Linked DNA regions of Caenorhabditis elegans. The protein of the gene in region 2 purifies or fractionates together with the protein of the main gene of each other region. This does not show direct contact. Each region holds a gene or a part of one and is shown on either strand. Other genes may lie near its edges.

Region 1 (8,542 bases), on a different chromosome or scaffold from region 2:
TTTGGCTAGTTGAAAATTCAGAAATTCCATAAACGGCTCACCATTAAGTAAAAACGAGCAAACAACTTCAAATTGAATAGTTCAATATCTGACCAATTTCACTGATCATCTTGCGAATAAGTACAGTAGTTTTGTAAAATAATTTTTAACGGCACATTTTTTTGCTCCAACTATGCTGCAATTTTTTCTTATGTCGTTGGATATATTATGTAGCTCTTTTTGTAATAATATCTTGCAAAAAAAAGTTTCTAAATCACCCGATGACTCTTCAAAAATGCCAAACTGTCCCAAATGTATTACTGTAAACCGTCAGAAGGTAGCCAAACTGTCATTATTTCGTTTCTCTGCCTCCCTTCATTTCTATTGGACAACCCCACAGACACACATCAAAATGTCGAAAATGTCAAACAAGAAAAGTGTGTGCCTAGAGGAGAAGTGGGAGGAAAAAGAAACTGAAATATTATATATACATTTTTGACTTTTTTGACTTTTTGACACGTGTCAACAAGCCAACTTGATCGTTACAGACATGTCACCACGCTGGCGCTGTCACTGTGTCATATCCGACTCTCATGGACACAATTCATGGACTTGCTGTCTCGAATGACCATCAAGCATCTATACATTGATTTCTGCACATTTCATCCGTCATTGATCTCTGACAAGGTAAGGATTTTTTTGCAAAAAAAAAGATCAGATTTTGACAAAGTTTCCTAGAAATTGGGAACACTCGCGTTTGAAAGAACACTCAGAGTTAATTTGTTAACTAATTATTTTTGTTCATTAAATATTTAGAAGTAATAATAATATTCAATTAGTCCATAAGAATTTAATAAACCTTCAATCACGTTATCTCAATTGCCTACCTGCATACCTCATGCAGACCTCAATAGTTCGAAAACCAAAAATATTCATGGATACATTTTTAAACAATATTAGATTGAAGAAGTTGGAGTGATGATGAACCCACCATCATTTGTACAATTTTCAGGTGCTGATGTCTCTAACTCACTTGGAAACAATTCAAATTCAACCAAGATATCCTTGTTTTCTCAACGAAGTTACTGATCAAACACTAATTCACTGGGCTACACGGACAACAGCGCCAAACACAATCCAGTTCAGAAATGGGTGTGCAAGTCGAATAACAGTGGATGGAATTAGGCATTTAATGACTGTAAGTTTAAGATTGTAATATGAAATGGGAGAAGTATTTCTATTTGGACACAAAATGAGAAAGTTTGGCCCCCAATTTGGAGCTTTATGGCTATTTTTTTCCAGGATTTTAACTTTTTAAACTTGACACGTAGCCACAAAAATGTCAACCTCCGCACCGAAAAAGTTTTCGTAATTTGTTTGAAAGGTTGCTTACTTTAGTGTTTCAGAATTAATTCTTGTAGGGAAATTTATCGCTATGGGAAAAAACTCCTTAAATATAGTCTTTAATTATTCCTTTCATTATTTTTCCTGTTTTCAGAGAGCACTCTCGACTGCTTCAACGCCTAACAAAATGGACTTGGATTTCGGACTTCTTCTAGAACCATCACAGTCTGAAACTTCACTCCTCACTTTTATCCTGTGCCCGGGACTTGATTTCAAGGTGACCGACGACTTTCGTTCCCGAAAAATCAGTCTAAGCCGTGGCAAGTTCTGCCTTCAATTTTTCATTCCAGCACCTTTTCCAATTGGTCCACACTCTGTGGCGATATCACCCTAATTTTTTTGTAAAATTGTTTTATGTTAACAAATTTTCTTTTTATTTTGAAATTTCCAGACACTTTCCATTTTGCTTTACGCGGGTTTTATCCGTCACATTTCCGTTATTTCTTTTTTGAATTTTTGATAGTGAATTTATTTATTGAACTCAAAACTATGAAATTTTTTCAAATTGCACTTTGTCTTGCACATTTCGTTCAAACTTTTACAAAAAAGTGTATCACCGGAAATTGGAACCCACAAGTAACAAGATACATAACACATGAAACAACGACAAATCTGCCATCATCAAAAAATTTTTATGATCTAGTAGTTATAAATTGCATGTTAAAATCTAACAGTAAGATTTTATATCTCAATTTACAACTACAGTACTGTAGCTACTGCAGTGTGCGTCATTGTTAGGGAACCCAACATTTTTTAATATTGAAAGCTGAATAATATTCTTTAAAATTTTTTACAATTAATTGGTTAAGAACATAAAAATTTAACATTTTTTAAAAGATACCATGTTATCGTGCATATTCTGCGCAAAAATTCGAAATTTTCAATTGAAATAGTAAAATTTATTCGAATCATTTTTTATTAAACATAATTTTAAATTAACTGTTTTCACAATCAGTGAAATGCTAACGAAGACCAGTAAACTTTGATATTAAAACACGACAAGTGAAAAAATAAACACGTTTTGAGATCAATTGGAACTATACTAAAAAATTATTTATCTAGCACAATAAATTATCCATAATCATCAATCATAGTAATTGTCATAAACGTATTTTGCTCTCCGTTTCACGTTTTCCGTCAGTTTTCCAAGAAATGCACTTGGATAGTCAGTGTCTCGTAGAGCACCAAATTTCAGAGTTGAATTCAGCCATTTTCGTCCCCAATCTCCAAGAGACAGATCACGGTAATGTCTGAAAAAATAGACTTTTGGACAAGTTAATAGTTACAATTGTGCTTTACCTAACAAGTCCTTCTTCCGGATCAACACGAATTTGCACATAATTCGAACCATTCGTCGCAGGGAAAAATTGTGTTACGTAATGAATAAACATGATGAACACTTTCGATGTATCAACAATACATTTTGCAGTATGTCCCGGTGGACCAATTCCACTCGAACTATGCCATCGATGAGTTGGCATCCATTTGTCCAACTGTCGATCACCTTCATATTTTGGTGGCATCAGTTCAGTTTTCATTATCCATTGCTGTCTGAATTGAATACTCGCAATACTTTCATTTTTGACGACCTGGACGTAATCCAAAATTGTTCCCGTATAGTTTGTCATGTAGATTCGTTCGTCTAGATCAGCGAAGATGGTCCATTTTGTCTCTCCGCGGGACCATATTAAGCAGTCCTGAAACATTGGACAGTATCAAAAATTGAAAGTAATCGGTATATTTTTTCTTGAATCTTCTTCCTGTGTGCATGCAAGATCTACTATCACAAATTACTTGGCACAATACTTATGCATGTGACACAACTATTTCTAACTTCTATCATTTCAGAAAAAAAAAACTCACCGCAAGATTAACCATATGCCAATGGTTATCAGCCCGCATATCCCTTTCGATAAGATAGTGTACTTCAACTTCTCCCGTTCTCACATAATCATTAATCACTCTCATATCATATTCGGAAGCATGATGGATATGAAGGTAAAAGTGTTGGACACCTTGTAACTTGAAATGCTCTATCATTTCGATAAACATCAACCATTTTGGTTCATCGCCGTAAATGGATGCAACACACATGGAGAGTTCGTATTTTGGTTCTAAAGTTTACAAAGTTTTTTTTTTTTTTTTCAAATCGTTAAAAATTGTAGATAAAACTCACTTTTCAGCATTCTATCAATAATTGGTAATGGAAAAAAGTCTCCATTCTTTTCGACACTTAACCCAATTTTCTTAGTGCCGTCTCTCTTTTTACAGCTGACAATATACTCTGGATACGTGAGACTTTCAAATGGGATTCCAATTTCGATATTGTTATCATCAAGGTAACGACAGTAGACGCGATGTCTGGAATTATCTGATAGTGAGATATGATCTAAAATTGAAATCTCACCCCATACGTTTCCAAGAAGTTGTTGTAACAGTAATTTCGTGCTCAAATTCATATGCATACAGCGTGCTGATGTTGCTGGCTGTTTTCTGGAATACGTGAAAATTTTGAGGTTTCACACAAATTATTAAAAAAATATTATGCATATGAAAGGGCTGGCTAAAATTGTAGAGCTTTGGTAACCCTTTTTTAATCAGATGTTTTTAAGAAGATTAAAAAAACCATCTTAAAAACAACTGAATCTTCACGAAATTTTAAAAAAAACTTACCGGTCTGTCATTTGTTTTTCTAAACAATTGAAATTGATACCAGTCAAACCGATCGAATCCATCAATAAAATATGATTTGTTTGACAAATCCAGTGTTGATGGCACATTTATTAATTTTTCTGATTTTTCAGCATTTGATTCCAGTTTTCCGCTCGTTGGTGACGATTCCGTGTAGCATGGTGAAATTCGAGAACTTGGAAATAATTCTGGCTTGTTGGTAAATATGTCAAAGACTAATAATAATAATAAAATGATTATTAGTATGAATTGATATATCCTCTGCATCTGAAAGATTTCAAATTAAATTATGCGGTACTTTGAGGTTTAAAAAATGGAACTTTTGAGAAAAAATGAAAATTACATCCTTCCTACGACGAAAATATTGGCACATGCCAGAATTATTTTATTTGATCTGGACTGAGAGTAAAATATCTTCACTGTGAAACAAATATTTTCGCTGCAGAAAAAATGTTTCAAAAGTTTACAAAGTTCAATTTTAAAAGAGAATTAACGATAAAAGCTATAAAAAAACGAAGAAAAAATAAACTTCCACAAGGGAACAAATTTTCAAAAAATTATCAATTTGAAAAAAAATCAAATTCCACATGGCCTCAGAAAACTTTGGCATTTGAATTACCTTTGCTCACATATGACCTCCGCGTGTCCTTTTTTTCGACCTCTGGAGAGCGTGGTAATGTAAGGGTATGATTTTTTCCAAGATTTTCAGAGAGTTAATACGTTTGAAACGCGAAATCTCATTTTTGAAGAGAAAAATTCGAAAAAGTATGGAGATTACACTTTTGTTCTTGAATTAATGAAATTTTTTCGACTAACTCAAAGTCGCAACAAAATGTTTGTCTGAAAATGTTTTATTTACAAAATTTTATTTGGAATTAAACTGACGCGTATAAATATAATTTTGATTAATGATTAGACTTTTTTTTTGTAAAATAGAAGCTACCATTTTTTAAGTAAACCTCAAAAACTTTTCTGGAAAAAAATTAATAAGAAAAAGGGTGTGGTCAAAATAAAATGAATCAGTTTTTAATAAAATACAGAAATGCAGAAAATATGACTACTATTGGAGATTGCGTCAAAAGTTTCCATGACTGATGTAGTTTGATTCAGAACTTTCTGAAATGACAATCATATGGGTGTGTAGCCACAAATATTCAAACATTTATAAATCATAAAATTTGAGGTACTCTTGTAAAATCTGATAAATATACATGAATATAAATATGCACATGAATATATACATGAATATACATGATGATGATTATACATGATCGAGTACAAAAGTATTCCAATTGTTTGTTTTGATCATTTTATTTTAATATAGAAAACTGTGAAAGGTGTGTTTTTTTTCAATTTTCAAAGAATTGTTAAAGTTTGCAAATAAAGAAACGTTCGTGATGTCTCTGGTTTGCTCGGAGTTGCTAAGGAGAAAAAACGGGGAAGGTATAAGATTGAGGAAGTGTTCAAAATATATATTTCATTAAATTCTGTTTTTTTTTAATACTTGTAGTCTGAATTTTGTGAAAATCCTTCAGAAATTAATTAGTTAGTTCTTCTAGAATATATTTCTGCAAAATACCTTTTTAGAGTCAAACTTTTGTAGTAATTATAGTATTTTTAAAACATTGACGATAATTAAATTAATTTAAAACTCGACTCATAAAAGTGAGCTTTAATCCATGGGAACCAATTTTCAAAGAGTCTTCCTGAGCCGATTATATTTTTCGGTAAAAATAAATTTAAGGCAACATGCAATAGATTTTGCTCATAAACCTCATGTTTGCACCTCAAATTAACTATAATAATTTTCTAATTTTTCAGGCATCATTTCAAACTTTTAAGAACAAAATTAAGAACACAATTTAAAAAATAAAAAACAGATACTAGCTTGAACGTGTGTAAAAATAAATACATCAGAAACAGAAAGGTGTGTCTTGAGTGTTATCAGGGTGAGTTCATTTGTATATTTTAAGCTTTTACGACGCCATAAAGCTTTGATGGGAGCAACGTATTTTGCACTGCAAATTTGGAATTGATTTTTCATTGTTTTAGTTCTAAATAAATCTGGTATTTTCAGATAAAAGCAGGAACTACTCTTTGCTAGAAAACTTGATTAAATCAAGCAAACGTTCGAAACTTAAACATGAAGACCTTTGACTGAAACTGAAAATTTTCAACACAATGTTCTTTTTAAAGTTTCCAGGATATTGTTCAATATGAAGATGTTTTCTTTTTTCATGACTCACATCTTAATATGGTTGTGTGAATTTGACTTTCTCTGCAGCCACATAATAAAAGCTGGCCAGTGTGTTTTTGTATGTGGCGTGAACCGTTTTTTTTCATTCAGACAAGGAAGGACAGCTCGATTTTTGAAAAACATTTTATTTGAGTAATGTTGCTTTTTTCCAAGCCACTTCACACAACCATATTAAGATGTGAGTCATGAAAAAAGAAGGCTTGGAAAAAAGCAACATAATGAATTTACACATTTAAAGTTTCAAGTTTTCAATAAATTCTTTATTTTTCTAGAATTAGTAGTAACAAATAGTGCAACTCAACATAGAAACAATTTGAACTGAGCGCAGACCTAGGTCTAATCAGAGCTGCTGTTATCATTGTAAATATGTATACGATGCTCGTGTTATCACATTTTACCTAAAGTTTCAATGATTAATTGCAGAATAGTCTATGTCTAGATACATGTGGTTATGAAACATTATGTACTCAAAAATATTCAGAAATCTTACAGTTCCCGGTGGTAATTACTGACCTTTGTCGATTTTCTGAAATTTGAATAGCCAGAAGGCAACGGACGCCTACACCTCATTAGAAGATGTATTTTTTCCAATGCTCCATTCGAAATGTAAAGTACGGCAAGTGAGGGAGAGATTAAAATTCATTCCTGTGGCGCTAAAATTGCCAAATGTAATAACAAAACTTCTTTAAATGATTTTTGCAATTTTTTATTTCTAGTCAAAAAAAAAGATGTGAAAACTCGGTTTTTATCATTTTTTTTTTTGGAAGTCGTCGCGTTATGATACTTTTGGCGCACCCTGTACTTCTGTTTGCCTAATATCACAAAAACAGTTGGTTAATGTGAATGTAATAACAATAATGACATACATATCCCATGAGATCATCTAATTGTCTACAACACAAAATTTTGGTTCTAACAGATATTATTTCGTTTACTCAAAAATGAATGGCATTGAATGCCGGTTAATTCAAACCACTTTTCACAAAATTTCCACAATTTCATCGATATTTATGAACTTGCTGCTGATCATTCTCGTCGTATTAAGATCTCCGAAAAGCATGAATGAATACAAATACTTGCTCATTGGAGCTTCAATCTTTGAAATATTTTATTCAGTTATTGAATTTGTTACCTCCCCAATTGTTCATTCATTTTACACTGTAGTCATAGTTCTGTCCGATATAAGATGCAAATGGTTATCTAGAGAAATTATGTTGGTATTAATATGTGAGTCAAAAACAAAGTTCTAAAGAATTTTGAAAATATAATTGATTCCGCGTCAATTCTTTCACATGTTCTTTCTCCGTAAATCGTACTTTTACAAATAAATTTAATATGGTAGATCGAGTTTGTTCAGGCTTTTTCTATAAAACAATCAAAAAAATAAACCAGCGAAAGAATAGGCGAGGAATTTTTGTCTCCTTTAGATATAAATTACTGAGCAATTCCAGTTTTACTCATTTTTTCAGCAACGTACTGTGGGTTATTCGGATCCTTTTTGGTAATCTTTGTGGTTTTATTCAAATATAGATACGCTGTAATTAGCCAGTAATTCAATTGTTCAATTCAATCACTTTTAAATAGTTAATTTTTTTAGAACCATTAACTCAACATATTTTACAAAGTGGAGAGTTTTCACGCATTCGTTTATGGTTTTGTTGGGTGGGCTTATTTGGGCATCAATCGGTTATTTTACATTTGGGAGGAGCAACGAGGTTGATGAATTTATCAGGTTTGCAGTTTTGGAAAAATTACACGTATTTTTATGGGACCAACTACTTTATGAAGCCAACAAACTACGAACTGAACAATTGGAAACTAGTATCCAGTTTCAAAAAAATGAAGACCAGTCTGAAAAATAGGCTTTTTATGCCTATTTCCAGTGGCTTCGTAAATTGTGAAATTTTTAGATCCGGCTTACAAAATGAGCTTGGCTTGAGCCCCGAAGATATAGTTTACTTGGCTCCGCATTTTACCTGATTGATGGACAAGACCAGAAAATTATTAACTGGACATGTATCTACGGAATGCTTGGAGTCAGTATGATCTTGGTATTTTTAATTTTAGGCTACATAGTTATTTTTGTATTTTTCCAAATTTTAGAATTCCACTTGCTTTTCCATATTTTTTTATGGAAGAAAATCTTACACGAAAATTAAGAAATTGTCGAAGAATACGAGTATTTCGAAAAATATGAAATCAATACAAAAG
Region 2 (7,899 bases):
TTTCTGTCAATTATTTTGGGTTTTAAGAATGTCTGCTCATTTGTCAGAGTTTTGGTAATGAAGCAAGAACTACTAAAATATGCTAATGCTGAAAAGCTGCTAAAATAAAATATTAAACATTAAAAGCAAAGTGGTACATTTCACAAAAAAATAGTGTTGTGGATTTCTTCCGTAAGATGGCGAAAATTTGAGTGTACTTTGAAGACTTAGCCGAATCGAAAATATAGTAGCTGTATCCGGAAAAGGAAAACCTGACATCCACATAAATCAACAAGTATTCGGAAAGTCTAATAAGAGTGAAATGGTACAAGCCTTGCGACTCAATGTCACACCATTGTCCGACAAAAGGAGAGGCAAAAACAAATCATGCGGTGGGAGGGCGTTGGGCAAAAGTTTCTCTTTTTCCGACATGGTTAGTGTCGGAGGTCCTAATGAGAGAGGTGACGGAAGCCGACTGGTTTTGAGAAGAGCCCGTAATTATTGGCACTCCTTCTCCGGTCACAATTTCATCGTGGCGGCGTGGCGCGTCGACTCTTTCAGTGTAATTGTCTAGGTTTTGTGGGTTTAGTGTTAGAGCGCCGGAAATTGGAAAAAAAAGAGGGACTGATATTGATAGCTCTTTCAATAATTTCACACAGGAAGTATAGAAATATACAAATAAGGAAAATGGAAAATATGAAAGTCACTACGGAGAGGTCTTCATGAAAACGTAAGGCGGAGCTACAAGCCATCATTCTTCTTGTTTCTTCTAAACACGACGCGGGAAAGTAAGAAGGAGGGGGTCTACGTACACAAGCCGCTCCCATGGTGGAAAAAATGGGAGGAGACCCGTCTCGAGACTTCTGCAGACGGGACAGAGGAGAAGCGGTGGGAAAGGAGAGAATGGTTTGTTTCCGGAGAGATGAAACTATTTGGAGAAGAAGCATCATGCGGGGAACAGAAGGAGGATATTTGGTGTAAAATCAAATGGTCAAACCTCAAAACTATTAAAGATAGAAATTAAGTTTCAGTTAACGGTTTTGCTTTTTTGTTTCCCATAAAATGGTTGGAAAAATACTAAAAACAAATTAATCGAAATAAATGTATTATTTTCGCTAAATTTAATTAATTCCAGATTTAGGATGCAACACAGTTAAATTTAAACTTACTGCTACTATGATGTTTTAAAATCGATTCCAAAAGTTGTCACTGGTGTCATATCTAACCATTTATTTATTCAATTTTTCATAGTAATTTTCTTTGATATTATCAGCAAAAAACGTGAGTATTAGCCAATAATATTTGAAACAGAAAATGTAAGAAAACATTGAAAAGCCAAAAATTTGGGTCTTTCAATTTCTACTACCTGACACATATCGAAAATTCAGTTTTACGTGTGGTTTCTTTTAAAGATTTCTTGGAAAAAATAGCGTAGGAGGTTCTGAACACCTTTCGATGTTCGTTTCTCTTTTTTGAGTAGGTGTTGAGAAGAAGGAGGAGGAAGGCGACAAACTTTTTATGACATCTACACATGATATCTCTCAAAACGAACAAAAATGACTAAGTGGTCTAAAAATGGAAAAGAGGAGGAAGCAGTGCAAATGCATATATATCAATTGTTTGGTTAGACTGTGCTTACAAGTTTATTTTCTGGGGGAAGAGGACAGTTCTCACAATTCTCACAACACCTGCTGACACATCGTGTACAAGGACATTGGAACACTTCCAAGACTAAGTTTCAAAAGAGTTAAGCTTCAAAATGTTTATATACGACACCAACAATGTTCAATATATTGATGTGGGCTCACAAAAAAAGATGCCAGGGTGCAAATAAGAATTGGTGCACACCATTGAGGAGGTGTCACCAAATGATGGCCCGTCATAGCTGGGTGATTCATAGGTAAGGGTTTCTCTATTTGCATGCCATTTTTTGACACTTGGAAGATGTTTTGAGTCGACAGAGTTTGAAAGGTCATATTAAAAGCAAAGAGGTACATTTAATAATACATTGCTTCAAATTTTTTATATTGAAAAATTTTAAATTGGGAAAAACGCTTTACACTATTTTTAATTACTACAATAAAAAACTTCAAAAATGGCTCAGTAGCTTTCAAAATTTAAAATGAAATATAATTTGACAACAAAAAATTTTAAGAATAGCGGCATACCAAAATAGCACGAAATGTGTGAAAATGCACATTTTGCTGAGCTCTCTCGCAAAAAACCCCTTGGCACGCGAGAATGTAAAGAACACCTCTGGGAGGGACGTATCACTAGAGAAAAAATCTCGAATTATGACATATGTATATCTACAATTCGCTGGTTCGAATTGAATAAGGCCGACCAGACTTGTCGGCACCCTTTTTGCCGCCTTTTTCGTGAAAAGAAGAACAAAGCCTATAAAAGTGCCCGTGAACGGTGAGAGGGAGGGGCGCGAACAGTGCGCGCGGGGATAAGAAGAGGGCAAAAAAAAAAACATATAGAGACACACTTATCCAATGCACAAAAAACGAATAAAGAGGTGGTTGGATGAGATGAAGGAAGACACCGTTAGAAAGGTATGGAAAGGATCCGATAACCATCGGAAGCACTTGGTGCCGATATCAAAGTGAACGGAAATGCCGACAGACAGGTAGGCAAACGAACTGTTTTGTACGTCTTAATGAGAGGTAAAAAGGATTGAAATTCGTGACATTTATTTTAAAACTACTTTGGTTCATAGATCTGACTAACACCATAAAATAACAGCTCAGCTTTGAAGTTGTCCGACTCACATATTCAGTAACTGTGTGGACCATTTGCAGCCACCCAGGACAATTTATTTTTTCGGGACAAAGATACAACGGTATCGGAAATCGAAACGCAACTTGAAATGAAATAAATAATTCGTTCATTACTCAACATTTTATAAGTATTTTATATTTGTAAGCTTAGAAATGGTCCTCACGTTTTTATTTTTCAACATTTTTGTAATTTCAATTTTCCGTTCCGAATTGCGTTTCGATTATACACACCAACCGATCAAACTTCAAACCACACATTGAAACTTTCACGTCACCCACAAAATGAAAGTAAAATAAGTAGTTATCCTAAAACCATAACACGACAGTATAGTCTTTCCTGTCAATTACACGTTAGCCGCTTTTGGTCTCCAAACATCCAAACAATCGGTCCTTTTTTCACAGCTAATTGCCGACAAAAACACAAAGACAGTGTGCCAAAACGCGAAACTCGAGACACTATGCAAAAAAGAAGATCCATTGACACGTGCGTAGGAGAGGGCAAATTGGTAAATATCCCATCAAGGTACAAGTACAAACAAGCTCTTTAGAGCCTTTGAGGACGGAGGGAGAGAGAAAGTATATGCCAACTTTCGCGAGTTGACACAATTAGATCAACTTGGATCAACTAACTGGGAGGGGGGGGGATAGAGATGAGGGTGTTCGAGTTGAAGTACTCGCTTAAATTGCCTGTTTTAATTCGAAATTTCTAAAGGGCAAATTATTGAAGCTTTCACAAAATGCTTTGAAAGAGTCTTGAAATTAAACATTTCAAAATAGAATCTCAGATTTGGTTGCATTTAAAGAATTAGATTTTTTGACCTTAAAACAGAAACAATTGATTGACCGGAATTTCACTATCGGCTTCGTGCCTGTTTTTAAAACTGTAGCAACTGTTTTCGAAATTTATGCGAAATCTAGAACTATTAGGTACGTGCTGGAATTATATTTCTAGAACAACGTTTTTCAAATACCTGTTTAACTGTGACAGTTTTACTACAATAATTCTAGTGAGTACAGAAGGGAAAAAACAACTTGTTCCGTACATTTGATCCCATGTTATAAAATTTTTTATGAAAGCCGTTCATGTCTTGATCGAAAATAAGTTTCAGCGTGTATAAAAAGCTATACTAACAGAGCAGCAAACACCTATATTTGTTCCTGGAAACTATTAACATTAAATATAATACTCTCCAAAATAAAAACCAACCGACTGGCGGATAATACATTTTTGAATAAAAGCTGCACCGGAAATAGTGAGCGCCTATCCTTCACTGACCAGTCTCGTCATTCTCCATAACACTAACGATATATACATGAAATCCGAGAAGGTGGCAAAAATAATGACCACTTTCTTTGGTTTTGGTTTTCTTTGATGACGAAAGAGAGAAGGACCGAAAAAGAAAGGTGTGTATGAAAATGTGGTCCCCTCCTCTGGTCTCCCAAAACCGCGCCTCTCTGACTTCGCATCGTAAATCAGGGTTCCGGAGGAAGACGACACCGTGTGGGGGGTGAAAGCAAAAGACAAGTAAATCAAAATCGCGAAGCCCAAACGACACGTGTCATTTGACATCGGTCATGTCGAAAAGGAGGGTCGCTTTCCGTTTCGGTTCAACCCGTGCAACACCCACTATTCTCACGGAATTGCAATTTTGAAAGCGATTCAATCGAAATGGGAATACTACATGTAAGCCGTGCCGAGAGAGCAGATGCATCCATTCAAAAAAGGTTCAAAAATTGTGTTTCATAAAAGGCGCTTTTTTGGAAGGCGCTGGTTCTTTTGTATGCACAAGTTCCTCCCTCAGTCATCGTTCTTCTTGTTCAATACTGGTTCCTGTTAGTTATCACCGTTTCCGATTTAAATATTTGCAATATTCTATCTTATACAGTTCTCTGTAGACTAAAATCGACTCCTAGAATTATGGTAGCTATGATTTGTTTTTAGTTTTCTCTTGTTAAAAAACCCGCTGACAAATGTCAAAATATTGTTAAATTACCTAGCAATCAATTTTACTTTCTTATTATTTTCCCCGTTACGTTCCCACTTTTAAATCTCTAAGCTTTCTGCCTCCCCTTATTTCCCACATCTGCACTTCATAGCTCAATTTGTCATCGGCTTATGGTAATTTCTGCCGAAGGCCGATGAAAAGAGGCATTGTCAGGTTCTCGGGTCTTGTATGATATGAAATCCTGAGTGACAACACTTGTAATCCTATTTGTAGCGCCTGTCTCCTGTCCTCACTACGTCTGGCGACTCACCTTGTCACGACGATTGATGTGTGCAGTGACCAATCCGCTCCGTGATCCTTGCGTGCCACTGTAATTGGATTAATTTGTATTTTTTGGGGAAAATAAAAACTTGAAAGCGGGAAGAAAGAAGAAACAAATGTAAATACACAAGGTGTTGTGGGAAACATATTTTGTAGCAAAACTAGGAATGATAGCTAGGATAGAATGTGGGGGTGAAAAGTTGACAAATAGTTGACGAAAATGCGTCTGCAAACAATGCCACAAAAACAAAAGAGAGTTTTATCATTTGCAGGAAAATTGAATTTGAGGATAAAATGACGAATTTTAAACGCGTGAGAATTGACAACAAGATCTGAAACAGCCGGTTAATTAATAACCATCCCAAAAGTGATAGTTCAAAAACATGAAAATGAAATAGTCTTGAAAAAAACCAACAAAGCGAAAAGTTCTTAGTAAGTTTTGGTTGAGTTTCACTATATGCATGTACTCAAATATCTGTCGGAAATTTAAAAAATTTAATAGTAATACACTAAGATTTTTATAATTTTGTTCTATTTGTTAGAAAGAAGTCTTACAAAACGAAAACGAAAAAAAACTGATCACAATGACTCTATCGGAACCGAAGTGCAACAGCGAGGAACAAATTGAATTTTTCATGTTTTCGAATAGATCAGTATTTGAAAAATATGTGTAAAAAAATTCAGGACATACTTAAATTTATTGAATCAAAAGTACAATTTTGCCAAAACTGAGGAGAAGCCAAATCCCATGTACAGTATTCATGTCAGTCTGCCCAATTATACCCTTGAAACCGATGTCCTGCTGAGTCTGCCAAACTGGAAGAAAAGGAAAAGTGGCAAATTGTAGATACAGATGACAATAATTTTTTTTTACTCATTTTCCGCTTTTTCCAGGATTGTTGAATGGTCAAGCGGTTTGGTTTACTAGAAGTTTCATGTAGAGAAAATAAGTTGTTTGTGACATAAATTTGGAAAGTAGCAGTATGTTGCCCGCTGGTTCAAAACAGTCCTAATAGCTTGCAATTTGTCATGAGCGTTAGCGAAAGGACGGGACAGTGTAAAAGAGAGCTTTGAAACAATGCCACGATATCGGGACAAGGGCACAACAAGGAGAGACAGAAAGGAATCCGAAAATTGATGGCCAAGTCATGGATGATACTTGTAATTAAGTGAAATTCGCTTTAACGCGGATGACGGGATGACAGAAAAAACAGATTTACAGTTTCAATGAGAACATTCAGTTTTAGTTTGAAACATTATTCATGTTTGTTACGCATAAATGTGAACATTATCTTGTAAATTTAGTCAGTGTTCCATTCACATTTTTTTGTGAGAAGAACAATGAAAGCAAGTATAAAAACTACCAAAATATGGGCGGGGCTTATTATTGATTTTCATTGGCTTGTTGATTTTAATTATTCAAAGTGTTTTGTGTCTTTCAAATTTGTTTGAATATGGGTACTGTTCAGACTATTAAACAATTTATTTTAAGCCCAAAAGAATGATCCGCCATTATATGGTTCAGTAAAAAAAACAGTTTTAATTCTAAAACAACATGTTTTACTAAATGCATATACGGAATGAGCACGTTCTAGATTAATTTTCGGGTTTACCATGAAAATTCTAGCATTTTTCCAGCTTCTGAATCAATATAACCAAGCAAAACAAGAAGAACAAACTGATTAGAAATATATGTACCAATATAAAGAAAAATTTCAGTTTAAATATTGTTTTTATGGCCTACGTCTCCCATCTATTCAATGATTCATACAAATTTCCATTACAGGAAACAACATAGACTCTTGTGAAAAAATTGCAAATCATTTCGATATATTGAGGATCAAATTCTTGTGAATGAATACTATGCACGTAGCTTATTTTCAAGACAAACAAATAAGAAATAGATTATATCTTGAATGTAATTTTTGAACTAAACACAATTAACTTTATGATCATACAAAAAAGCTAGTAATAGCACATTGTAAAACATCAATTTGTGGAAAACTGTGTCACTGTGCCAATAATAGTGTAATATATTGTAATATGTATGTTTTATATACACTGATTGTATGAGAGCCAATAGAAAAGCTGACTTGTCTAATCAATAAGTGTTAGGGTTAGTTCAGTTGCTTATAAGCTCCTAACCTATACAAACATTTTCTGATTAATCTCAAGTTGTTTAAAACATTTGTTTCGCATTTTTCATTGCTGGAAAAAAGCAAGAACTTGAAATCAAAAATCTAGTTTGAAATATGTGGGGTTTTCTGAATAAAGAATAACTTAAACAGGTACTCGGTAAACCGTGGAGATCAAAACCTTATAACTGAGTAAAACTTCAGGTATTATGTTTGTTTTAGGATTACACTGTTTCTCATCAGGCAGAAAACTGAACTTGAATTGCCCTCCTCGCTCATACATTCTCATGCTTATTTCACTTATACTGGCAACCAATTAAAATGAATATACGTTTTCATCTTCATCATACCTCATCTCTCCGATATTACGACACAACCCTATGCATTTCAACACAAGCCTACCGTGTTGGAGGGTGGAAACTTGGAAGAGACAAAAAAAAATGCACGAAGCGTTTCGATTTTCTTTGGCGGTAATCGGTGACCATAATTTGATCTGATCACATCACACTAACATTGCTTGGGGCCTTATGTCATTTTATTATATTCACATACAAGGGGACGTCTTCACTGTTTGATTGAGGCAAAGTTAAGGAAAAGTGTTCGCGGAAAAGGTGTGGCGACTTTTTGAATTCAGAAATGTGTTGGTCAAAACCACAAAAGAAGTGGAAAACGAATAGTGTACAGCTTCTGAGAACGCAAGCAACAGCTGATCATCGTGGCTCACTGTAACAGCGC

Evidence for each region.
Region 1: the proteins of B0198.3 (region 2) and gtnt-40 fractionate together in Caenorhabditis elegans (co-fractionation; one large-scale study listed by BioGRID). This does not show direct contact.

What each region holds. Positions count from the first base shown.
Region 1 is NC_003283.11:7,749,477-7,758,018, forward strand, and holds gtnt-40 (Glycosyltransferase family 92 protein), read right to left. Parts: upstream 5,182-8,542; 5' UTR 4,694-5,181; intron 4,342-4,693; coding exon 4,057-4,341; intron 3,877-4,056; coding exon 3,791-3,876; intron 3,745-3,790; coding exon 3,560-3,744; intron 3,498-3,559; coding exon 3,247-3,497; intron 3,081-3,246; coding exon 2,683-3,080; intron 2,634-2,682; coding exon 2,468-2,633; 3' UTR 2,291-2,467; downstream 1-2,290. Other genes in the region: fbxl-5 (F-box domain-containing protein), read left to right, coding at 528-666, 992-1,177, 1,478-1,717.
Region 2 is NC_003284.9:12,051,997-12,059,895, forward strand, and holds the start of B0198.3 (Protein kinase domain-containing protein), read right to left. Parts: upstream 5,078-7,899; 5' UTR 5,019-5,077; intron 1-5,018.